Macaca fascicularis: one gene and its partners. The protein of the gene in region 1 purifies or fractionates together with the protein of each later gene. This does not show direct contact. Links are inferred from orthologs where the notes say so. Each region holds a gene or a part of one and is shown on either strand. Other genes may lie near its edges.

Region 1 (4,117 bases):
TGGACATTTTCCCTTGCAGCACAGTCACACTGGATTGAAGGTAGAACAGTAATAGCTGCATCTTTTATACATTTTTGTCCCATGCAATGTGTTTTATTATATCTGTGAGTTCACTGGTGGGTATTACTTTATCTCCATTTTACAGAAACCACAGGAGCTGAGAAACGGACCAAAAGACATGCAGTAAATGAAGGCAGAACAGGAACTCTGGTCTGAAAGATCCAGAGTGTGTCTCCTGCAAACTGTCCATTGCATGCCTGTCCTGGAGGGCCTCTGCTTTCTGGAACATTTAAAACTCAATTCAAGAACCGATGCAAGGACAAGGCTTACCTATTCCTAACAAATCTAAGTGTGAAAGAAAGAACTGGTCAGACTAGTCATAAGATGCCAACCAGTGGGACAATCAGCTAGACAAGTAGTTCTTATGACATTTCTCAGCAATTTCTCCAGAAAAATAAAATTAAAAGTGCTTGTGTTTTTATTTCTAAGATAAGCTTTAAAAGCAGTTGAATATGCATGTTCTGAAGGAGGTGGATAACTATGTTAAACCTTCTGGCTCACAGTGGCTTCAATATCACAGAGAGTCTGAGAACTGGAGTTCAAAGCTGGACTTAAGCACTTCCCACTGTGTGAGTTCAGGTACCCTCTGGGCCTCAGAAATCAGGCCTTACCACCAGCTTCACTGACCTACCTCACATGGTTGGGGAGGTGAAATGTGTTTCTGCTGTTAGCTAGAATCCCACTCAACAGTAAGTTTTAAAGGGTACGTGGCCAGGAAAAGAGACAATCACAGGCTCAGAGATGTCAATAATATCTTGGAAATGGGAGAGCTGATGGTCGAGTGCTCTCTGACTTAACCAGTGAAGAAAGCTGAACCCAAAGTGCACAAGGAGGAGGTCCCCCAGAATCAATTCAGTCCCCACCCCAGAACCTTGGTCAGAGTGGGGAACTGGAGGCCCGAGGGGTTACTCTGTGAACAGGACTTCAGGGTGGGGCTGAGAACAGAACTGACTGAGCAGTCGGATACCAAAACACCTTCCACCCTCAGCTGTTTAGTTTTACTTTTGGTAGAGCCACCCCAACCCGTCTTTCTCTCACATCTCCATCAGCATATTAGAATGGCTCGATCTTCAAATATATCCAGAAAGAGCTGCATCTCTCACCTCTTGGACCCCATCTCCCACCATCATTCCCTCCACTCCAGCCATGCTGACCTCTTTTACTTGAACATGCTGAGCACATGCCTACCTCTGGCTTTTGCACAGGGTATTCTGTCCTCCAGGAGCACTTTCCCTTCCCTCAGGTACCCTCACAGCGATTTCTCCCGGCTTTCACTTCCTGCTCACATGCCACCGTCCCTGACCACTGCCCATCTCCCTTATCCTGCTTTTTTATCTTTCCCCAAAGTGCTTTTCTTCACCCAACATACTATGTATGTTTACCACTTGATGCCCCCACTGGAATGTCAGCTCCTCAGAGGCAGCGATTTTTGTCTATTCTGTTCATTGCAGTATCCTGAAAGCCCAGAATAGTGCCAATGACAAAGTGGGTGTTCAATATTTGTTGAAAAAAGTGAATGGAGAAACAACTCTGGATTACGGCATGAAGACCCTAGTGTAAGAATTAAAGAAAGAGGAGAGAAACACGAACGGTGGCTTTTCAGTCAACAGGGACAGGTTTATTTTAAACAAACCTGAGGTGGGCTGCTGGCTGAGTTAGGTCAGAGCCACATTCTCTTACAGACTAAGAGTTTTTAAGGATTCAGGGTGAGAGAGTTTATCAGAGGCTTGGACTGCTTCTGTGTCTCTTTATTGTGCTCATCTGGGAGGCAGAGTTGTATGTCTGTTTCCACACATCTTTCTGCAGCTGCAGGCATATCCCCCCCAGGACTGCTTTTAGCTTCCCTATCTTAGTGCACCTGAAGGGAAAGGAATGTTCTTATTAAGGCCCACAGTTTTACTGGGGTCCACTGTATGAGGGTGAAGTTTGGCAGTTACCCAAGAGACTTTCCCCCACCTCCCTCTATGACTGAGGTGTCTTATCTGTGTTTTACTGTCTGCTCTTCCTGGCTGCTTGTAGTTAGAAGTGATTTCCTTGAAATGCATGAGGCTAGAAAGGGAGCTGGAACTTAAAGTGCCAGTGTTTGTCCGAGATGACGCTACTCCTGCTCTGTCACCCAGTCCCAGCAGAAAGCAGGAAGACAGAATGGTTATCACCATTAAGTGAGCAAGACCAAAAAATCCCTTGGATGAGTAGTTTGATTTCCCCCATGAAAGGGGAAGATCTTTACAGGCAAGAATCTCTCAGCATATCCACCCCAGAAGGAATGCCCGTGTGTCCTGCAGAGGAAGCAGTTTCTTGTCTCCCATGGATGCTGACTCACCAGGATCATGTTTGAGAATGGCAACCTGCACTACGGACTTGTCTTCTTTCATTTTTGGCTAAGCTGATTCAATACACCTGTGATACAATTCCAACCACTACTTTCTGACACTCAACCCAAGAAAGAGATCTAAAGCCAGAGGGAGTGGTGCCTGTGGTGTACTTTGAGTGAGTAAAGTAAGGGGTTTCTAAGAGTTTGATAAATCTGACTGCTGAGGACTTTCATGTTTAGAATCTAACCCCTTTGAAAGATATAACTCCCGCGTACAGAATCAAGTATCTGTGAAGAACACACAAATAGCTTTCAGACAGAGTGTAAGAAGAATGCAAGTGTTAGAAGTTTAGCTCAACAAACCTTCCTTAGCTCCAGCTCTGTGGTAGTACCTGGTGGTCACAGATGAATACGACACAGGCATCCAGTGGAGAAGACGGAAGGGGAGGGATCCTACCTTTGTCCCTGACAAAGAACTTCAGGGAGGGAAGGAGGGAATAGACATTCCAGAAGGGACCATCCTGGGCAAAGCCTGGAGTGCAAAAGGAGGGTTTTAAGTAGCGTTCGCTCACACACATTGAAGACTGCAAAAGGTTTTCTTAAGAAAAGTGGCATTTAAAAGGATCTCTGAAGCCTCAGGAAGCCTTCTCAGACCGCACAGAGCCGTTCACTAAATGATCATAGCATGCTGGGCTTTCCCTTCATGTCACTTATGACAGTCTGTAATCATGCATTGGTCTGGTGATGTTTTAATGGCAATCTCTTCCACCATGCCAGGAAGGCAGAGAATGTGTCACATTGCTCACCACTATATGCCCAATGGCTGGCACATCACATGTGCTTTATAAATGTTGACTAAACACAAGTGGGCAGGCTCTGCATTAGAAAGAGGAAACTAAGAAAGAAACACTATGGTGCTGACACACAGAAGTGTGGCTAGCCCAAGGCCAGGGAGCCAGGATGAGAGCCCTCGAATGCCAAACCAAGGAGTTTAACCTGAAGGCTGGGTAGCAGGTGGACCCCTGAAATAAACTTGCACAGGCAAGTGATTCACTCAGGACAGAGGGCAGGTACACGCATGATTCAATAAAGATTTGGGCACCCATTGTACACCAGGCCCTGTGCCAGATGCTGGGGATTCCACAGCCCATCTGATGCTCTCAGCTTAGTGGGAGAAGACAGGCAGGAAGATGGCAAAAAATAAAAAAGGTAATTTCAGAGAGTTCAGGATGTGAAAGACACAAAGGGTCAGGAGGCTAAATTTTAAAGGATGAGGAGTCAGCCATGGAAGAGGTGAAGGCAGGATATACCAAACCAAGGGTATAGCGAAGAGGTTAGAGGCTGGGCAACAAAAAGGTGGGAAGAGACCAGGCTGGAAAGGCAGACAGGGCCAGATCACATAAGCTCTGATACGGTAAGGAGTTTGGGATCATTTTTTAAAAAATCCTATGGGAAGCATAAAGGATCAGTGGGCAAAAAAAAAAAAAAAAAATGTTAGGGACTTCTTAGGGGGACAGTGGTATGGATAAGATAAATACTAAGGAAGGCCTATAAGTGAGTGCTTTCAATTCTCACTCATCTCCTAAGAGAGATCTTTGAACCAGGAAAAGATAAGGGCTCCATGTTTTGAAGGCAGATGGACCTAGCCTCCCTTTCCAGAGAAAACTGCCTCCTGTAAATCCTCAAAGAGAAGGAGGGTTTTGTTTATCAGCACAGCCTCATTATACCCAAAGGCTCAAAAAT
Region 2 (4,014 bases), on another chromosome or scaffold:
TCCATGCCATCCCCTGGCTCCAAACCCACCAGGAACTTCCTGTCAGGGGAGCTGGGAGTAGAAGCCATGGCTCTGCTGGGGCCTTGGAGACCTCGTGCCGTCTGGCCACCCTGTACTCCTGGGGCCCCTGCATCAGCTACTCTGGCCTCCCCGCCCCAACCAATCAGCATCCTTGCTGTTCCCAGCTCATTCTCATGTAGGGATCTCTCTCCTCCTGAGGAACGAGGACCCCAGCAGGAAATGCAGCTGGGCACACAGGGATGGAACAAGCCCTGCCCACTGATATAAGCCCCAGCAGAAAACACACTGAAGCCAGGTCCTCAGTCACTTCAACGTTTCATTTGGGCTTCAAACTCTGAGGAAGCGGGCCCCACGAATCCCCTGTGGACAGGCATGGCACAACGCTGGCAGGCATGTGCCAGGCAGGGAGAGGGCAGGATGGCTGGTGGACCCTCAGAAAGACCCTGCCTGAGCTTTCCCTGTAGGGACTGAGCGGAGTGGAGAACTGAGCCCCCTAAAGTGAGCAGCACAGAGCCACGGGGGGCAGGGGCATGCCTGGCTGCATAGTGGGAAGGCAAAGGCCTGGCCTCCAGGAACAGGCACAGGGACGCCCAGCCAGGCCTGCTGTCTTCCTGTGTGAGGAGCGAGGCACCAGGGTATGCGGTGGGCAGGAAGCCACATCCTGAATGCCAAGGGGCAGCCCAGGCTGCTCCTGCCTCCCTCACCTGCAGTTCAGCTGCAGCTCCTTGGGGCCTCCACTGAGGAGGAGGCCAGTGGGTGCCTGCTGTGTGCACCTCCACTTCTGCTCCAAACCTAACAGGGGCAGGGCAGGTCCCCACGGGCAGTGTCCTGGGGACCACCCAACTGAGACACAACAGGCTCTGGCTCTGATGCACTTTAATGAGTGCCCTGCCCCTGTCCAACCAGGCCACTCCATAGGCGCCTGGCTCGCTGTCCCATGGGCTCTGGCTGACCACCCTCTAGTCACAGGAGCCATCCTTCCAGCCGTCGCGCCAGCGCTCATCCACTTTTGAGCAGTCGAAGTCAGGCTTGCCCAGCTTGCGGTTCACTTCATTGTGCAGGTGGCACAGCCACTGCGTGAAGCCTGCCCGAGTGCGGGTGTCTGGCTGGTTCCTGCACAGCCTGCATAGGGAGAGCATGTAAAGAATGGGAGGACGCAGCGGCTCCACTGCCCCTGCCAGTTCCCTGTCTGCTCCCAAGGAAAGACAACTGGGGCACTGCTGTGAGCTACACCTGGGAGTGCCCTTATGCTCCAAGGGACAGGAATTCCCAGAACAGGGCTGACCCTGCAGCTCCCGGGTGTGATGAACTCCCAGGGTTGCTCAAACACCCACCTGGAGAGCTTGGCAAACTCCAACGAGGCCTCAAGGCAAGACATCACAGCACAGACCTGGCAAATTTATAAGCTTCTAACACCCAGGAAGCGGCATCCAGCGTCTCTGGCCTCAGGCAGAGTGTGGCCTGGGTGGGGCTGGGCACAGCCTTGTAACTGAAAACTGGACTTGTTTCTTAGCACCTGAGGGAGGCCCTGGTGCCTCAGTTCAGCAAGAGACTTAATTCTAACTGCCCAGGCTTACAGCAACAATGGCAACTCTGCCCTAGACATCTGGTCTAGAAACACCCGCAAGGGCCAGTGCTGGCTCTTGGATGCCTCAGTGAGGAAGAGGTGGCTCTTGGGGGCAAAAGCAGTGGATTTCCAAGATTTTAAAACCAGCAGTCCTGCTCTAGAAGTCAGGCAAAGTGGAGCCCTCCCTAACTTGGGGGGAGCCGTCTTCAGTGCCAGACAAGGCAGGGAAGCCCTTCCTGGAGTCCTGTGGCTGTGGCAGGAGCAGTATTCAGCAGCAGATCCCAACAGTTTGGCTTTTGAGACAAGACGAGGAGGCTCAGATGGCCCCAGGCCTCACCTGTTGGAGGCCCCTGCTCCTCAGCAAACTTCTGCCACCTCTGCATCCGTTTCTCTATGTTCCCCGCTATTACGTCAGCCAGGAGCCCCAGGCCCAGGCTGCAGTGCAAAGCTCTGCTGCGTGCAAACACATCTTACCTTTCCCTTAGGTCTTCAGCACACTCCTCACAGGGGTAAAACTTAGAAAATAAATGTATGAAGTGGGCCATGTCTTGCTGCTGTTCTGGGGTGGGCAGGTCGGGGTAGTAGGCGGCCAGGGTGTGGAGAACAGCCCAGCTGTGGCGGCCCAGTTCCTCGCGATCCGGCGGGCAGTCCTCCCTAAACTTGGTGTCCCGCTGCGGAAGCAGGCCAACCAAGAGTGAGTTCATTCTCCGAACAGAAGCGCCCAAAGCTCCCCCTTCTACGGCCCAGCCGGTGGCCCACTGGACTCCGGCCAAAGCCCTGCAGACGATCCAACCCACGCGCGGATGAAGGCTGTAAGGCCGGGCTTACCCGGGGGCAAGGTTCAGGGACAGGCAACCCCGGGGAGCTCTGCCGGGGCACCTGGGCGGGGGCAGGGGCAGGGGCTGCGCGGGGCTGGGAGAAGTCGGGCAGGGATCTGCACCTTCTGCTGCGTCCGCATCCACGTCTTGAAGTCCACGCAGGCCCGGCACGGCCGCCTCCGGGAGGCGTCCACGGCGACAGGAGACTCGGAGGTCGGCGCCTGGGCTGGCGTCGGGGCCGAGGTGGCCGCGTCTCTCCGCCCCGCGCCGCGGCCCCGCGCGTCGGTCGCCAGGTCGTCCATCACCTCGGAGCGCGCGCCTCCCGGCAGGAAGAAGAGATTCCGGCCGTGGAAGCTGCCCCGCTCGCCGGGCGCCGCCATGTTGCCCGCGCAAGGCCTGCCGGGCCAGCTCGGCCTCCAGATGAGCCTCCAGGTCAGCTTCCAGGCCAGCGCTCAGCTACAGTAGCCGGAGGCGCGCGCCGTGCTCGCGGGGGCCGGGCCCGAGCTGGGGCTTGGGGCGGAGTTGGGGGCGGGGGCCGGCGCGCGGGCCCGTGTGGAGGCGGAGCCAGAGGCCGCGGGGCGGACCGGGGCGGGGCCGGGCCCGGGGCCAGGGGCAGGGACGGAGCTGGAGGGCCGGAGCCTGCTGGCACCCCGGGGCCTCGATCCGCGGCGCACGCCGTGGTTGCGCCGTCCGTGGCGGCGCTCTCGCTTCCTCCAGTAGAAGAGCAGTGTGTGGCGGAAGGTGCGCAGCGGAAGGTGCGCCGCGGGCGCGCTGTGGACCTGGGCTGACACTCAGGCAAAGTCCGTGTTGCGGCCCGCGACGCCCCCATCGCTCCGCTCTGAGTGTCCTGCGTGCCTGCGGCCAGGCTCTGTGCCCTCCGCTGAGGGGCGCGTCCCACCGGCTGGCTGCCCAGCGCCTTCTCAACGCGGGGCGGGCGTGACCGCACAGATTGCGGCGCGCGCTAGGGTTCTGGGCTGGTGTCACCGCCCTGGCGCCATGGCAACGGGCGCCTGGCAACGCAGGGCGGGGCGCGGCCGCAGAGGGCTGGCGCGTGCCTTGGGCTCCCCGGCGCCCCCCGCCAGCTGCCGCGGACCCTAGAACCTGGGGGGAGGGGTCGGGCTCCCAGTTGGAGCGGCCTCTGCGATTCCTCTGCCTCCTTGCGTTCATTTATCCATTCCGCTATTATTTGTGCAGTGACTGCTCTGTTCCAAGCGCTGTTCCAGGTGCTGGGCGGAGCAGGGAACACAGCTCTGTTCCCTGACCTCCTCTGTTCATAATTCAGTGGTCAAGATAGGAAAAAAAAACAAGGACTCACACTCATAAATGTTCACGTACAAACTGGTGGGTCCATGCAAGGGTGTGGTAAATCTGGAAGGCCTCCTTGAGACCTCCTCCTATCTGAAGGATGAGGAATCAGCTGAGGAGCGCCTTCGAGACCAAGCCCAAGGTGGCAGGGTCTTGGCATTTTGCAGGAACAAAAAGGCCAGTGGGACGCTAGGGAGGGTTGTAAGGTGGGAGGGGAGATCCAGGCACGGGCAGGGACCCACCAAGACTTAGTCAGCAGCTGCGGGGATTGGGAGTTTATTATGAGGGTAGGGGGAAGATGCT
Region 3 (3,420 bases), on another chromosome or scaffold:
GCCAGTGCTTGGCGTGCGGCCAGGGAAAGGGGCAGCAGGGCCTGGTGGCAGCAGTGGTGTCATCAGGCCAAGCAGGACTTGCAAGGAGGAACTGGTGGGGGTAGGGGGTGTGAAGCCCCCCCAGTCCTTGCTGAGAGAGACCTGAGTCTGAGGCAGCTGCTGGATATGCTTGGCATCCCTAGCTGTCTCTCTGGGCTGGGTCCTATGCTGGACACCAGGGTGTGGCAGAGAACAGGACGAGCGAGCAGAGCTGAGAGGAGGGTGAGCTGTGGGCCAGTCAGGGGAAGAGGACCAGCGGCCCTGCTGGGGAGGGCCGAGGGTGGCGCTGGCCTGGGCGGGGTGGGCACCCTCAGCGGTGTCCCTGAGGCTAGTTGGGCAGTCATAGGGAGACCACTCCAGACGCCTCCTCCCTCCTTTCCCAAGGGGGAGCCTCAGGCTCTGGCTCTGCAGGTGTCTGGCAGCCCCACACTGTTGACACGGGCAAGCAGCAGGCTGGCACGGACCTTTACAAAGATAATCTTTATTGATAATCACAGGCCACAGGGGTGAGCCCTGAGGTTTGGGTTCTGGGGTGAAGGAGAACCCCTGTCCCCTGCCCTGGGCCTCTGCTGGCTGAGGAGGGACAAGCTGAGGGGGCCCCCATGGTGCACAGACAACCAGGGCCTCCCCAGCAGGGCAGGAGTGTGGGTGCCACAGAGACAGGCCCTTTGCAGAGCTGACCTGGAACCCACCATCCCCACAGCCCGTGTGAGCACAAAGCCCCTGGGTGGGCTGTGCCCTGGCTTGTCAATGATGCCAGTAGAGGCTGGCAGCCGCCCCTCTCGGCACCGGGGACAGTGAGGGAAGGCAGCTGCTGCTGTGAAGAACAAAGACGCTCTGAGGACAGACTTGTCGGGGCTGAGGTGAGGGGCGCACAGAGGCAGGCCCTGCCCGTGGTCTGGTCAGCTGTCCCTGCCACCGCTACTTTTCTGGTCTGAGGCTGTAGCCTTGGTCAGGTTCCCAGCTTCCCTCTTGAGGACGCTGAGCAAAGTCTGGGAGCTCTCCAGAATCTGGGGCCAGAGAAGTGAGGAAGTTGTTACTGTTCACCTGCTGGGAAGTTCCTAAGCCCCAGCTGTCCTCACACTCAGGTTCTGGGACCTGGCTGTGGGTGCTGTAGCCAAGGGATCCTGTGCGGGGGAAGGCGGAAGCCCAAGGGGACTGGCAGACGGGGTAACAGGGCCCTCTTCCCTCCTGAATCTGACCCAGAACACTTCCTCCCCACCCTCAAAGCCAGGCTGGGTTAGCACTGGCCCAAGACGTGGCTCTTCACACTCTAAGCAGAAAGAACCACATGGCTAGCGAGAACCGGATGAAGACCAGGACCCAGGATGCCCCAGGTCCCCCAGACAGCCCCACGGTCACTCCCGCAGCAGCCTGGGTTCCTCAATGGGCCTGGCCACGCTGCTCCTGCCCGACATGTCAGCGAGGCACAGACTGCCCACAGCTGGGAGCCCCAGACGGTCCTGACGCCCTGCCGCGGCTACACCCCTGCCGCGGCTATCCCCTGATGCTCCGCCTGGCCTCCCGAGCTCCACCTTGAGGTAGGCGGCCTCCGTCTCCGCGATGGTCCGGTCGAACTCGTTGCGAGAGGCAATCTTGCGTGCCAGGTTCTCGTTGACGCGGGCCAGCTTCTCCGTCAGCTGCCTCACCTCATTCTGCAGCCGCTGCTTCTCGTCCTCCTCCTCCTGGATCTGCCGGCACAGCTCTTCCCGCTTCTGGCACAGCTCCTCTATGCCTGGGGGGCCAGGAGGGGCGGGGCTGTGGGCCCAGGGCAGGAGCGCGGCGGCGGAGGGCGGGCCTCCTTCCACCCGAGGAAGCCAGAGTCAGGCACCACCCCCGAGCACCCGGCGCGGGGCCTGCGAGCCAACGAGGGCTCGGGGCCACGGACACCCAGCCCCCGGCACGGAGGGCTCTGCTCAGCTGCGCGATGCCCGCAACTAGGCGGGTCCAGGGGCACCCCGCTGCGAGCCGGGAACCCGGCCCTGCGGCCCTCCCGACCTCCCCGTCCCGGCTGCGCCGCTCACACTTGACCAGCTCGTTGTTGTAGTTCTGCAGCGCCGCGCCCTGCTGGGTCATGGTCTACGCCGCCCGGGGCCCCGCCACCCCAACCGACGCGGAACCAGCGCTGTCCGCGCCTGCGCACGACTCCCTGACGGCGCGCCGAACTACGCGTCATCGCTGAGCGCCTTGTGCGCGTCATGGCTGCGCGTGCAGACTTGCGTCATCGCTTTGCGCCGTGCCGAGGGGATCTCGGAGCCGGTGGCTGCAGATGGCGGCGGCAGTTGTGGTGGCGGAGGGGGACAGCGACTCCCGGCCCGGACAGGAGTTGTTAGTGGCCTGGAATACCGTGAGCACCGGCCTGGTGCCGCCAGCTGCGCTGGGGCTGGTGAGGCCTGGGAAGAGAGCGGCGGCCCCGCGCGGAGTTTCCGGGACCCTATGCACTTTGGGGCGGCCACCTTCGGGTTCATACAGCTCTGTCCGTCATCCGCCTCTGCCCTGTCCTGCCGCTTTCCACCGCCATTCCACTTCATTTCGTTCAGCTCCGCTGGCAGCCCTTCCCTAGTTTCGGCCCAACGTCCGGACACCACGGACAGGGGGCAGCGGAGTTTTTGCAGCCTACCCCTCAGCTTCTTCCCTTCCCCGCCTCTCCCCACCTCTATGTTGTGTTCCCCTCGCTTCACGGTTTTCTGCGCTCCAGGTGTCTTCCCGGACCAGCGGTGCAGTCCCGCCAAAGGAAGAGGAGCTCCGGGCGGCGGTGGAGGTTCTGAGGGGCCACGGCCTGCACTCGGTCCTGGAGGAGTGGTTCGTAGAGGTGCTGCAGAACGATCTGCAGGCCAACATCTCCCCTGAGTTCTGGAATGCCATCTCCCAATGCGAGAACTCTACGGATGAGCCCCAGTGCCTTCTGCTGCTCCTTGACGCTTTTGGCCTGCTGGAGAGCCGCCTGGATCCCTACCTGCGTAGCCTAGAGCTGCTGGAGAAATGGACTCGCCTGGGCTTGCTGATGGGCACTGGTGCTCAGGGGCTGCGAGAAAAAGTCCACACTATGTTGCGCGGAGTCTTGTTCTTTAGTACCCCCAGAACCTTCCAAGAGATGATCCAGCGTCTGTATGGGTGCTTCTTGAGAGTCTATATGCAGAGTAAGAGGAAGGGGGAAGGGGGCACAGACCCGGAACTGGAGGGGGAGCTGGACAGCCGGTATGCCCGTCGCCGGTACTACCGGCTCCTGCAGAGCCCGCTGTGCGCAGGGTGCAGCAGTGACAAGCAACAGTGCTGGTGTCGCCAGGCTCTGGAGCAGTTCCATCAGCTCAGCCAGGTCTTGTGAGTAGTCTGTCCTGATGGCCGTGCTCTCGCTCCTACTGGTTGCTCCCCTGGGTCCAG
Region 4 (3,500 bases), on another chromosome or scaffold:
AAAATCTAAAAAAGCTCTTTAGGGAGGTGATGAAGAAAAGGTTAAGAAGCCAGGGGTTGTGACTCACACCTGTAATCCTAGCTACTTAGGAGGCTTAGGCAGGAGGACTGCTTGAGGCCAAGAGTTCAAAAACAGCCTGGGCAATATAGCGAGATCCCATGTCTACTTAAAAAAAAAAAAAGAAAGAAAAGCTGCTGTGGAGATTCTTTTGCCAAGTCAGGAATACCTAAATTAACTATATTTTTACAAACCCTAAGTGCCGAGATAAAATGGAAAGTTATGGCTATCTCACTTCTAACCAATGTACTTGCAAATGGCTCCAATTCTTTGGTTTTTGTTTCTCCTAGCCAAGGTTGCTAAAATTGTTCAAGGAAAAGACTTGGATTTCTTTTTTTAAATATGATAAATCATTAAATATATAACACAGAGTACAAACCAAGAAAGTAAATTTATTTAAATTACTAAAATAGCTTTTAAAGTCATTTACAGATCAGCTGCTATAATTATTTTTCCTGAAAGACACAGGTAACATATTACTTTTAAATTACTTGGGTCAGTGAAACATTTAATAAAAAGTTATTTCTCTATATAATATGTATGTATAAAATAAGCCTTTTCAAAAACTCTGGTTTTCATAATCCTCTATAAATCAGATGATCTGACTTCTAAGAGGAACAAATTATAGTAAGGGGCATACATTTATGAATACTGGTAGTACTAGAGGAAAGAAGTTAGACCACTCTACTACCACTTGTGGAACTCTCAAAGGGTAAATGACAAAGCCAATGACTGACTCTCTCTAAAAACAATATTTACATTTAATGGTTTGTGGACAATAAAAAAACAAGGTGGATAGATATAGAATTGTAACATTTTAAGAAAACCATAGCAGTTGACAGATGAGAAAGCTCAATTATAGATGCAAAGTTATAACTATACTACTATAGTAGTAAAGAAATACATTTCACACTCTTCATGTAAGTTCACTATCTTGGCTTGAGGCACTCCATAAAATGTATCACGTGCATAGTAAATCTTTATATTTGCTATGGTGTTGTACTAGAGGACCTGGACTGCAACAACTGGATGCACAGAAAACGAAATCTTCTTCAATAGCCCAGGACAGCAGGTTGACAAATGGTTTGTCAATTCCTGAAACTATTTCTTAATTCAAAACAAAAGCTTCAGGATGTGTCCAAAATAAACTGTTACGAATTGACCTAGTCTTTTTTTTTTTTTCTTTTTGAGACAGAGTTTTGTTTTTGTTGCCCAGGCTGGAGGGCAATAAGCCTGGTCTCGGCTTACTGCAACCTTTGCCTCCCGGGTTCAAGCGAATTCTCCTGCCTCAGCCTCCCAAGTAGCTGGGATTACAGGCATGTGCCACCATGCCCGGCTAATTCTTGTATTTTTAGTAGAGACAGGGTTTCACCATGTTGACCAGACTGGTCTCGAACTCCTGACCTCAGGTGATCCACCTGCCTCGGCCTGACCTACTCTTTTTTTTTTTTTTTTTGAGACGGAGTCTCTCTCTGTCGCCCAGGCTGGAGTGCAGTGGTGCGATCTCGGCTCACTGCAAGCTCCGCCTCCTGGGTTCACGCCATTCTCCTGCCTCAGCCTCCCGAGTAGCTGGGACTACAGGCGCCCACAACCGCACCCGGCTAATTTTTTGTATTTTTAGTAGAGACGGGGTTTCACCGTGGTCTCGATCTCCTGACCTTGTGATCCGCCCGCCTCGGCCTCCCAAAGTGCTGGGATTACAGGCGTGAGCCACCGCGCCCGGCCAACCTGACCTACTCTTAAGAGTCAAGTGAACAAATGTATTAAATCTTGCAATATACATGAAGAATCCTTGGGAGGGCCAAGAATTTTTCTTCAAGGAAGGAAAAAGGAGATATAAAAAACAAATCCCAATGGAATCCACTAAGATTAACAGTTCATATACCTATGTTTGACCTACACCTCAGTGGATTACTATAACATTTCCTCCCTTCAGCTTCCCCATTAATTTCTTCCTTGCCTTGTTCTTTCCACCTTCCAACAAACAAAAGAAAAAAAAATTCCAAACACACACCTACGTGACCTTTCATAACTTATGTTCCTATAGGCAGAAGCTAAGGAACTCACACCTACATGGTATAAAAGGGAACATAATGGGAAAATCCATGGTTACATTTAGGGAGCAATCTTACTAATAACTCAAGAAACTTAGTGAGAAATCTAAGTTAAAAAATCAGGAAGGTTCATAAGGAGACAAATCCCTTTCACTGGTCATACATAACTGTAATAATTCAGCCCAGAATCAAAATAGATTCTCTAAGGAACTGCATATAATCTGCACTCCTAAGATACCTTTAACACAGCTCTCAATGGAAACTGAAATGATTCTCTCATATCCTAGATAATTAGGTTGACAAATGATTTTTATGTTCTGTGTTTATGTAAGAACTTAATTTCCTTTAAAAAGAAACCAGTTCTTTCAAAAAGAGCTCTGAATTCTGTCTCTGGTTAGAAAATGTGAACAATTCTCAGAACTTGGGACATGATTTTTCTTCTCTCACTTCTTATAAGCAGATGCCCCTTTTCAAGGCATTTTCAGGTTGCACAGGCAGAACTAAGTGAGAAATGCGGCTCCAGAGGCCATTCAGTTTGTCTGGGTCCATATGATTGTAGGAGTTGGGTGTGTTAGAATTGGTGAACTTGACTTTAAGGAAATCTCTTACTTTTTCTTCAACTTCCTTTAGGCCTAGACTGGTTCCAAGTGTCTCTTCCTCCAATAAGACAGTCAGGACTAGGGCTACATCTTTGAAGGCTGCGTTTTCATGGTCACAATATTTGTAGAAGATCAAAGTAGAGCCTGCGGGCAATGACTCAAAGCGGTGTACCACAGCTGCATTCTGGCCGTTCTTAAATCCATTGCTCAGTTCTTGGTCTACCTCTAGTTTGACAGTATCACTGTCTTGAGTAGCTTTATCTGTCCCATCAATCCGGATGGCACGGACACTACGAAAAGAAGAATAGGCATCAGCAATTTGTTCACTCAGACACCTAAGCGCTTCTTCAGCATCTCGGGCAGCAGTGAGCAGCAAGATAGCAGGCTGAGACCGAGGATGGGAGCTATTAAGATGTTTTTCCAGGAATATTTGGCTCCTTTTCCACAGCTTCTCATCTTGACCTTGATACTTATTCTTAAGTTGATTCATCTGGTTCTGGAACTCTTGAACAGCAGTGGTTTCTACCTCAGGAGTACTAAAGAACCAAAGACTCCCAGAGGCAAGAGCAGCTATCAGAGGAAGTAGCCACCAGCAGCTCCTCTTGCCAAAAGATGCATTTTGGGGTTGTCCAGTCATTTCTACTTAGAAAAAAAGAAATGACAGATATAAATACCATTTTCTTAGATTCAAGGCAAGTGACTTTTAAAATCAGTATCAATCTTTGTAAACATTAGGTAAAAGAGAAAGAACTTTAAAGAAGAAAGCTGAAAATTTTCTTAATAAAATAAT
Region 5 (3,975 bases), on another chromosome or scaffold:
TAGGTAAACTTCCTCTCCTCCCTGTCTCCTTGACATGTTCCTTTTCTATCTCATTCATTTTTTTTTTTTTTTAAGACGGAGTTTTGCTCTTGTCGCCCAGGATGGAATGCAATGGTGCAATTTCGGCTCACATGCAACCTCCACCTCCCAGGTTAAAGCAATTCTCCTGCCTTAGCCTCCCAAAGAGCTAAGATTACAGGTGTGCGCCCTGTAATTCTGTATTTTTAGTAGAGACCCCTGCTAATTTTGCATTTTTAGTAGAAACAGAGTTTCACTAGATTGGCCAGGCTGGTCTCGAACTCTTGACCTCAGGTGATCCACCCGCCTCGGCCTCCCAAAGTGCTGGGATTACAGGCGTGAACCACCGCGCCCGGCCTCATTCATTTATTCATAAAAAAAAAAATTGATTGCATACCAACTCCCTCACTGTGTGACCTTGGATAAATTAATTTCTCTGTACTTTAGTTTTCTTATCTGTAGAACGGGGATAATAATAATACCTTCCCCACAGTATCACTGTGAGTGTAAGTTTACAGTGACATGATATATAATGAGAATTAAATGAGTTAATTCATATAAAGCTCTTAGAGCCTGGAACAAAGTTCAGCACTGTTTGAGTACTAGGTGTTATAACAGTGACGTTGCTGCACCCTTCACTGCTACTGTGTTCCAGTTAACCTCTCCTACAGCCATTTATTGCTTAGGTAATTCGTGTTGGTGGCCAAGACAGGTCTGGGAAGAAGAGAGATGAATCAGACTGCCCACTGCACTTTGTCCAGCTACACCTGGCACATACAGAAGGTCCTCTAAATGTTTGCTGAATGGATAAGCGAATGTCTTCCAATTGAACTCCAAGTTCTTTGAAGGCAGGGACTACATTCCTAGCTGTCATAACCCTAGAACAATGCACCTGGTGAGGCACACTGTAGGCGCTGAGGGATTATACATGGATAAATGACTGCAGGTGGAAAACCACTAAGGCTACAAAGCGAGCATTGATAAGGTGCTGCAGAGAGACCGCTCCCAGTTTCAGGAAGGCGGTTAGTCTTGGAAGCGTGGCTGCCCAACGGCGCGAGGGCTGCTGGGAAAGGCAGACTCGCCTGGCTCTCCCGGGGATTCCGGGAGAGTGCCGCGGGCTGCGTCAGCCCCACGCCCCGCCCCCTCCGCCGGCTCACGTGACCGTCTCTGGGCAGCGCAAACCATGGCCGGCTTGGTGGACTTCCAGGATGAGGAGCAGGTTAAGTCCTTTTTGGAGAACATGGAGGTGGAGTGCAACTACCACTGCTACCACGAGAAGGACCCGGACGGTGAGCGCCTCCAGCGCAGCCCGGCGACGCGTCGGGGAGAGGCGTGCCGGGAGAGGTCTGGTCTGCGACCTCTGAGAGGCTGGAGAAGGAATCACGTGGCTGGCGGGGGACGGGGGTCTGTGGATCGCGGTGACTGCGTGTGTTGGGAAGGGCGATGTGTCCCGGGAAGACCGAGCCTGGAGGCCGGGGCGGGTAGGAAGAGACGTGCTTTTGGATTAGGGACTGGGGATCTATCGGTGAACAGATGAAATTCGCTGCCCTCGTGGAGCTTCCAAGCTAGTGCGGGGAGTCGGGCAATAAGCCTCAGGTAATTCATGAAATCGTGTTCGAAAGCAGTAAGTACCTGCCGGGCGCGGTGGTTCACGCCTGTAATCCCAGCACTTTGGGAGGCCGAGGCGGGTGGATCACGAGGTCAGGAGACGAGACCATCCTGGCTAACACGGTGAAACCCTGTCTCTACTAAAAATACAAAAAATTAGCCAGGCGTGGTGGCAGGCGCCTGTAGTCCCAGCTACTCGGGAGGCTGAGGCAGGAGAATGGCGTGAACCCGGAAGGTGGAGCTTGCAGTGAGCGGAGATCGCGCCACTGCACTCCAGCCTGGGCGACAGAGCGAGACTCTGTCTCAATAAATAAATAAATAAATAAATAAATAAATAAATAAATAAAATAGTAAGTGCCGTGGAAAAAGGACTGGGTGAAGGGTATCAGGAGGGCAGAAGGGCAGTTTTAAATTGAGTGATCAGGGAAGATCACTGAGAAAGTGGCAATTGAATAAAGGCTTGAAGAAGGTAAGGGAGTGAACCATGCAGATCTTACCGTAGGTAACAGCTGGCAAAGAGGCCCTGAGGCACAAATGTGTCCCGTGTGTTGTGTGAACACTGAATTGACTTGAGAGTATAGGTGGATGGTGATGACCAGAGGGGTCCACCCAGAGCAGCCAATAGCTTTCGGTGGTTTTCTTCTTCCTGCTTTATTTTTATTTTTTATATTTTCTTTCTTTTTTGAGATAGTATCTCACTATGTTGTCCAGGCTGGTCGCAACTCCTGGGCTCAAGTGATCCTCCCGTTTTTTTTTTTGTTTTGTTTTTTCGAGACTGAGTCTCACGCTGTCACCCAGGTTGGAGTACAGTGCCTCCATCTCAGCTCACTGCAACCTCTGCCTCCTAGGTTAAAGCAATTCTCCTGCCTCAGCCGCCTGAGTAGCTGGAATTACAGGCTCCCACCACCACGCCCAGCTAATTTTTGTATTTTAGTAGAGACAGGGTTTCACCATGTTAGCCAGGCTGGTCTCAAACTCCTGACCTCAAGCAATCCATGTTCCTTGGCCTCCCAAAGTGCTGGGATTACAGGTGTGAGCCACTGTGCCCAGGCTTTTTTTTTTTTTTTCTTTCAAATAAAGGTCTGGTGTGGCACAAGCCCGTCATCCCAGTTCTCTGGGAGGCTGAGGTGAGGCAGGAGGATCGCATGAGGCCAGGATTTCAAGACCAGCCTGGGCAACATGGTGAAACCCTGTCTCTACTAAAAAAAAAAAAAAAAAAAAAAAAGAAAGAAAAAAGTGACACTGGCCCTACCTTCTAATAGCTTGCAGTTTAGTTTGCAGAAATGACATAGCTATTCCTTGAAGCTAATCCATAACATAGACCATAACGTAACCATATACATATCATAACATAGTCATGAAACAGAGTTGCTCTGCAGTATGATGGCTTAAAAAGAACCTGGGGGCCGGGCGCGGTGGCTCACGCCTGTAATCCCAGCACTTTGGGAGGCCGAGACCGGTGGATCACAAGGTCAGGAGATCGAGACCATCCTGGCTAACACTGTGAAACCCCGTCTCTACTAAAAATAAAAAAAACTAGCCGGGCGTGGTGGCGGTGCCTGTAGTCCCAGCTACTCAAGAGGCTGAGGCAGGAGAATGGCGTGAACCCGGGAGGCAGAGCTTGCAGTGAGCTGAGATCCGGCCACTGCACTCCAGCCTGGGCGACAGAGCAAGACTCCGTCTCAAAAAAAAAAAAAAAAAAAAAAGAACCTGGGGTTGAGCCGAGCACGGTGGCTCATGCCTGTAATCCCAGCACTTTGGGAGGCCGAGGTGGGCAGATCACTTGAGGTCAGGAGTTCAAGACCAGCCTGACCAATATGATGAAACTCTGTCTCTACTAAAAATATAATAATTAGCCAGATGTGGTGGCATGTGCCTGTAATCCTGGCTACTGGGTAGGCTGAGACAGGAGAACTGCTTGAACCCGGGAGGCGGAGGTTGCAGTGAGCCGAGATCACAGCATTGCACTCCGGCCTGGGCAACAAGAGCAAAATAACGTCTCAAAAAAAAACAAAAACAAAAACAAAAAAAGAACCCGGCGTTGTTCTTTGAGAGCTGGTCCATGTCCTAAGTGTAGAAAGAACTTAGAGGAATTGGGGTCACTAAGGAACAGGGTGGTTAGGGAAGACTTTGAAGGGAGGTCTGGAGGGCTGGGCAAGTGTTGATTAAATGGAGGAGAGGGTGGGAGAAGAAAGTGCTGTCTTTTGGAAGGTTGAAGTCAGGATGTAGTACATTTGAAGCGGGAGTCTGGGCCACAGTATGTCGGGGCTTGAATGCCAGAGTAAGGAATATAGACTTTGCTCTGTAGGCAATGGAGAGCAAAACATGTCAGACAAGCAAGTTATTGGA
Region 6 (4,246 bases), on another chromosome or scaffold:
TTGCCATGTTGGCCAGGTGGTCTTGAACTCCTGACCTCAAGTGATCCACCCACTTCAGCCTCCCAAAGTGCTGGGATTACAGGCGTGAGCCACTGTGCCTGGCCTGTCCTACTCTTAAACACTACATTAGTCTCCCTCTGCTGGTAGGGGCTGTGTCTGTTTACTCTCAAATGCCACGCACACTGCTTTGCACATAGTAGGTGTCAACAAACTTGTTTTAATATATATATACATACATACATACATACACACAGTCACATTCCAGTGTGACAAATACTCCTTCACCAGGGGACAGCGCTACCACTCCAGGATCTTGAAGACTCGCTACAGAGAGCTTAGGCCTGGCAGTCCTCACAGATGACACCCAACAGGGAGCACTTTTATTAAAGTGGGAAGGGGTGGGGTGTACCCCAGGGTGTATGCTGACACGGACCTCACGCGGGCCCAGAGCTCTGCTGCACCCTCTTCATCAGCTCTTCATCCTGCATAGACAACTCTGTCAACTTTTTGCCCATTCGCTCATGGATGTCCAAGTACTTAGAGACACATCGGTCCAGGCACACAGACTCGCCCTTGGAGAGCTCTGCTTCCTTGTAGTGAGGAGGTACACACTTCCGGTGGCAGGCACTGGTCATTCTGGAGGGAGGGAGGGGCAAGGTCATGTCAGCAGCATCCTGTGACATCCCAGGAACCCTCGACCATTCCAGCCCTGCTATATTGATGTCACCTTCCCCAAGAAAGCAGTGTAAATCCTCAGTTTACACCTCAACCACTGGAAGGTCCTTGCAAGTAGGAAACTTGCCTGAGCCCATGTATATGACTAATTAAGTAGAAACAATTTGTTAAGGACTGGCTATGTGCCAGGCATCATGCTAAGTGCTTTACCTGCATTCTGTTACGCAATGCTTACAATTACCCCAAGAGATACTTATCCCCATTTTACAGACGAGAAAATTAAGGCAAACAGAGGCTCAGTAATTTTTTTTTTTTTTTTTTTTTTTGAGACGGAGTCTCGCTCTGTCGCCCAGACTGGAGTGCAGTGGCGCGATCTCGGCTCACTGCAAGCTCCGCCTCCCGGGTTCACGCCATTCTCCTGCCTCAGCCTCCCAAGTAGCTGGGACTACAGGCGCCCGCCACCACGCCCAGCTAATTTCTTTTTGTATTTTTAGTAGAGACGGGGTTTCACCGTGTTAGCCAGGATGGTCTCGATCTCCTGACCTCGTGATCCACCCGCCTCGGCCTCCCAAAGTGCTGGGATTACAGGCTTGAGCCACCGCGCCCGGCCGAGGCTCAGTAATTTTCTAAGAATCACATAGAGCTGAGATATGAACCCAGGTCATCTGACCTCACAGTCTACACTTAACAATCTTTCTAATTTATAGTCGTCAGGATAAACCAATCAAGAGAGCTTAAGCCAATAAAAATAGCAGACATTTCACTGTTACTAAGTGTTGGGCTTGAGGCTAAGGACTTTCATATATTTTTAGATTTAATATTTATGATGCCCTATGAGGTAGGTATCATTATGTCTTTTTCATAATGAGGAAACCAATTGTCAAACAGTGCAAGTAACATGTCCAAGTATACTGCTGGTGATTGGTGGAGCCAGGATTTGTTCCCAAATGTGCCAAATGGTTATGAGCACTAGTTGCAGAACCAGACTGAGGTGCTAGTTCTGGCATTGTTACCCACCAGCTGCGGACCCTAAGGAAGTTACTTAACCTCTAGCAGCATCAATTTCCTCATTTTAAGATGGGACTAATAAAATTAACCCACTGGATTATTTTGAAGATTAACAAGAGCCTGACACAGAATAAAGGGTTTTAAAATGTTAACTACTAAATGGGCTGGCTATGTGCTATTTATCAAGAGGCAAATACTCAGCTTTTCTTGGAACCTAACCAGAGCCTGGATTGGAGTTTCTCTTCCTGCTTGGCTCCTGCATTGCCAGTTCCATCCCCATCTAAATGCCCAACTCATTCTAGTGACTGCGTCTACATTAGGATCAACCTTGGAGGTGCGTATGGGGAGGGTAAGCATGGGCCTCAGGCTCCCCTACATTCAGGAAGGAATTTGTTGTAAGTCATTCACCTTCGATATGGGTGACCAAGACTTATTTTCCAAGACAGGGTAGAACATAGTTCTCTTTACCTGTTGTACATATCGGCCATCATCTCCACCTCCAGCTCCGCAGCCAGCTGTTGGGCCCTGAGAGGATCCATCTCAGCCTAGCACCGTGGAAGGTATCTCCTTCTGGCCTCCTAATCCTGGGAGCAGACATCACCATCAGCACCCACCGCCGCCGTTCACTCTCCTACCCCTTGGGGCTAGAGGATACAGAGGACTCACAGGGCGCCAGACCACCACGGGCCACTAACCTCAGTAAGATTAACCACCCCATTTCACGGATGTGGAAACTGAGGCCTCGCCCAAGGTCGCACAGGACGTCCATGGCGAGCCTGGAAATCGAGCCCCGGATCTCTGATGCCCCAGTCCCTGGAGGTCACCTCTATTCAGAAGATCGAGGACCGAGGCAGAACGCTCTAACCCATAAGCCTGAACCTCCAGGGCCCTGGGAATGAGATCGTACGCTGAACACAGGCGACCGGGACGCAGCCTAAAGGCTGCGCCTCTGAAATGGCGACGCCATAATCAGAGCCACATTGAATTCAGAGGTCATGGGTCACTCACCACTGCCTGGGACGGATCGCAATGCTCACGGAGACCCCAACTTCTGACAAAAACTATAACGTTACCCGCCTCTCCAGAAGGCTCCAGCGGAAGCACGTGGGTTACTTCCGGGAGGGAAGTCCCGCCTCTCCTTTGATTCAAACTCGCTTCCGGAACTAAATACCAACGAGACGGCGCCGGGAACTCGGCGATCCTAGAGAGGGAGCGGCCGGCGCCGGGCGAAGAGGAAGGCGACTTGCCAGTGCTAGAGGGGACGCCAAAGTACCATAGAGGCTTGGGCGGGGTGCAGAGCGTCTGCAGCCCGCTTACAATTCAAGTCCCTTGGGATGTCACAGAGCCGCTTCAGTTTATTGGTTCTGTAGGAAGAGGCGTGGTGACAGATATCAGTGAATCTCATCCCAGTTCCGGACAGCCGACTCCTGAGCGTAAATCAGGCGTGGAGAAGGAAGAACGCCCCCAAACAGCGATTCTGTTTTTGTTTCGCGTTAAAATCCCTGGAACGTTTTTAAACGTCCCAGTGCCCAGGACTCACCTCATTTCAATTAAATCAGAATCTCTGGGAGTAGGACCCAGGCATCAATACAATTTAAAATTCCCCAGGTGATTCGTATGTACAGCCAAATTTGAGAAGCAGTGCTCCATGGGACGTTGTGCGATTACTACTGTGTGTAGGTCACACTAAGCCCCTTCTGGTGTTGCAACGATAAGCGAGATAGGCTTCCTGCTCGTAGAAAGACAAGACGTGTAAAATATGTTTTCTTCAACAGTCAGAGGTCCTGAGCCACAAAGAGATTAATAAAAGCAATTTCGGCTGCCACCGAGGCTAATCATGGGTGAGGGAGAAGGAGGGTACTGGTGAACTTTTCAACTTTCAAGACTTAATGTGTTCTTCAAACTGCACCATTCACTCATTCCCCACTAAAAAGAAGGAAACAACACTCAGTCCCTTGATTTGTCACACAATTTCCTAGTAAAATAAATTTACAAGATGTAAATTGATGACGCAAGGGCACATTGCTCATTGGAAAAGGTGGGCTAGACATTTTATATGTGTGGTCATCATATGCTTCCCTAATTGTCCAAGACCATCCTGATTTTAAACAATCGACCTTTCTGCTTTGAAGACTCATCTTTGTCAAACCTTGTGCCCTGATTTTTAAAGATTGAGGTATAATATTCATAAAGTGCATAAAATACACGAATCTCAAGCTTAATTAAATATATATGTGTATATATACATTTGTATAACCACCACCCAGATCAAGATATAAAATACTTCCTGCACCCCAAAAAGTTATCTTGTGTTTCTTCCCCATCAATACTCCCTCTTGAAGTTAACCACTATTCTGACCTCTATCACCATCAATTCGTTTTCCTTGTTCTTGAACTTCATGTAAATGGAATTACACATTATTTTCTATTTTGTGCCTGACGTCTTTAGCTCAATGTACCTGTAAGGTTTCCTCCATATTGTTGTGTGCATCTGTTATTCCTTCTGTTTTATTGCTGTCTAGTGTTTGATTGTATGAGCATGCCACAATTCATTTATCCATTC

What was found.
Region 2: the proteins of CHCHD4 (region 1) and GFER purify together in Homo sapiens (co-immunoprecipitation; 3 studies listed by BioGRID and IntAct, with this or other methods). This does not show direct contact. The link is inferred for Macaca fascicularis from reciprocal best matches to the Homo sapiens genes CHCHD4 and GFER.
Region 3: the proteins of CHCHD4 (region 1) and SSNA1 purify together in Homo sapiens (co-immunoprecipitation; 3 studies listed by BioGRID and IntAct, with this or other methods). This does not show direct contact. The link is inferred for Macaca fascicularis from reciprocal best matches to the Homo sapiens genes CHCHD4 and SSNA1.
Region 4: the proteins of CHCHD4 (region 1) and TOR1AIP1 purify together in Homo sapiens (co-immunoprecipitation; 3 studies listed by BioGRID and IntAct, with this or other methods). This does not show direct contact. The link is inferred for Macaca fascicularis from reciprocal best matches to the Homo sapiens genes CHCHD4 and TOR1AIP1.
Region 5: the proteins of CHCHD4 (region 1) and COA7 purify together in Homo sapiens (co-immunoprecipitation; 3 studies listed by BioGRID and IntAct, with this or other methods). This does not show direct contact. The link is inferred for Macaca fascicularis from reciprocal best matches to the Homo sapiens genes CHCHD4 and COA7.
Region 6: the proteins of CHCHD4 (region 1) and TIMM10 purify together in Homo sapiens (co-immunoprecipitation; 4 studies listed by BioGRID and IntAct, with this or other methods). This does not show direct contact. The link is inferred for Macaca fascicularis from reciprocal best matches to the Homo sapiens genes CHCHD4 and TIMM10.

What each region holds. Positions count from the first base shown.
Region 1 is NC_088376.1:152,384,210-152,388,326, forward strand, and holds the start of CHCHD4 (mitochondrial intermembrane space import and assembly protein 40), read right to left. Parts: upstream 2,801-4,117; 5' UTR 2,799-2,800; coding exon 2,738-2,798; intron 1-2,737.
Region 2 is NC_088394.1:2,744,625-2,748,638, reverse strand, and holds the start of GFER (FAD-linked sulfhydryl oxidase ALR), read right to left. Parts: upstream 2,801-4,014; 5' UTR 2,787-2,800; coding exon 2,529-2,786; exon of another isoform or gene 2,480-2,528; intron 2,260-2,479; coding exon 2,063-2,259; intron 1,412-2,062; coding exon of another isoform or gene 1,399-1,411; exon of another isoform or gene 1,356-1,398; intron 1,144-1,355; coding exon 981-1,143; 3' UTR 1-980.
Region 3 is NC_088389.1:2,127,392-2,130,811, forward strand, and holds SSNA1 (microtubule nucleation factor SSNA1), read right to left. Parts: upstream 2,189-3,420; 5' UTR 2,116-2,188; coding exon 2,064-2,115; intron 1,775-2,063; coding exon 1,575-1,774; intron 1,050-1,574; coding exon 942-1,049; 3' UTR 501-941; downstream 1-500. Other genes in the region: ANAPC2 (anaphase-promoting complex subunit 2), read left to right, coding at 2,309-2,425, 2,738-3,360. UniProt on the Homo sapiens protein: Microtubule-binding protein which stabilizes dynamic microtubules by slowing growth and shrinkage at both plus and minus ends and serves as a sensor of microtubule damage, protecting microtubules from the microtubule-severing enzyme SPAST.
Region 4 is NC_088375.1:37,408,432-37,411,931, reverse strand, and holds the end of TOR1AIP1 (torsin-1A-interacting protein 1), read right to left. Parts: intron 3,353-3,500; coding exon 2,562-3,352; 3' UTR 430-2,561; downstream 1-429. UniProt on the Homo sapiens protein: Required for nuclear membrane integrity. Induces TOR1A and TOR1B ATPase activity and is required for their location on the nuclear membrane. Binds to A- and B-type lamins. Possible role in membrane attachment and assembly of the nuclear lamina.
Region 5 is NC_088375.1:182,019,716-182,023,690, forward strand, and holds the start of COA7 (cytochrome c oxidase assembly factor 7), read left to right. Parts: upstream 1-1,175; 5' UTR 1,176-1,201; coding exon 1,202-1,307; intron 1,308-3,975. UniProt on the Homo sapiens protein: Required for assembly of mitochondrial respiratory chain complex I and complex IV.
Region 6 is NC_088388.1:16,082,153-16,086,398, reverse strand, and holds TIMM10 (mitochondrial import inner membrane translocase subunit Tim10), read right to left. Parts: upstream 2,801-4,246; 5' UTR 2,692-2,800; intron 2,328-2,691; 5' UTR 2,223-2,327; coding exon 2,152-2,222; intron 637-2,151; coding exon 435-636; 3' UTR 198-434; downstream 1-197.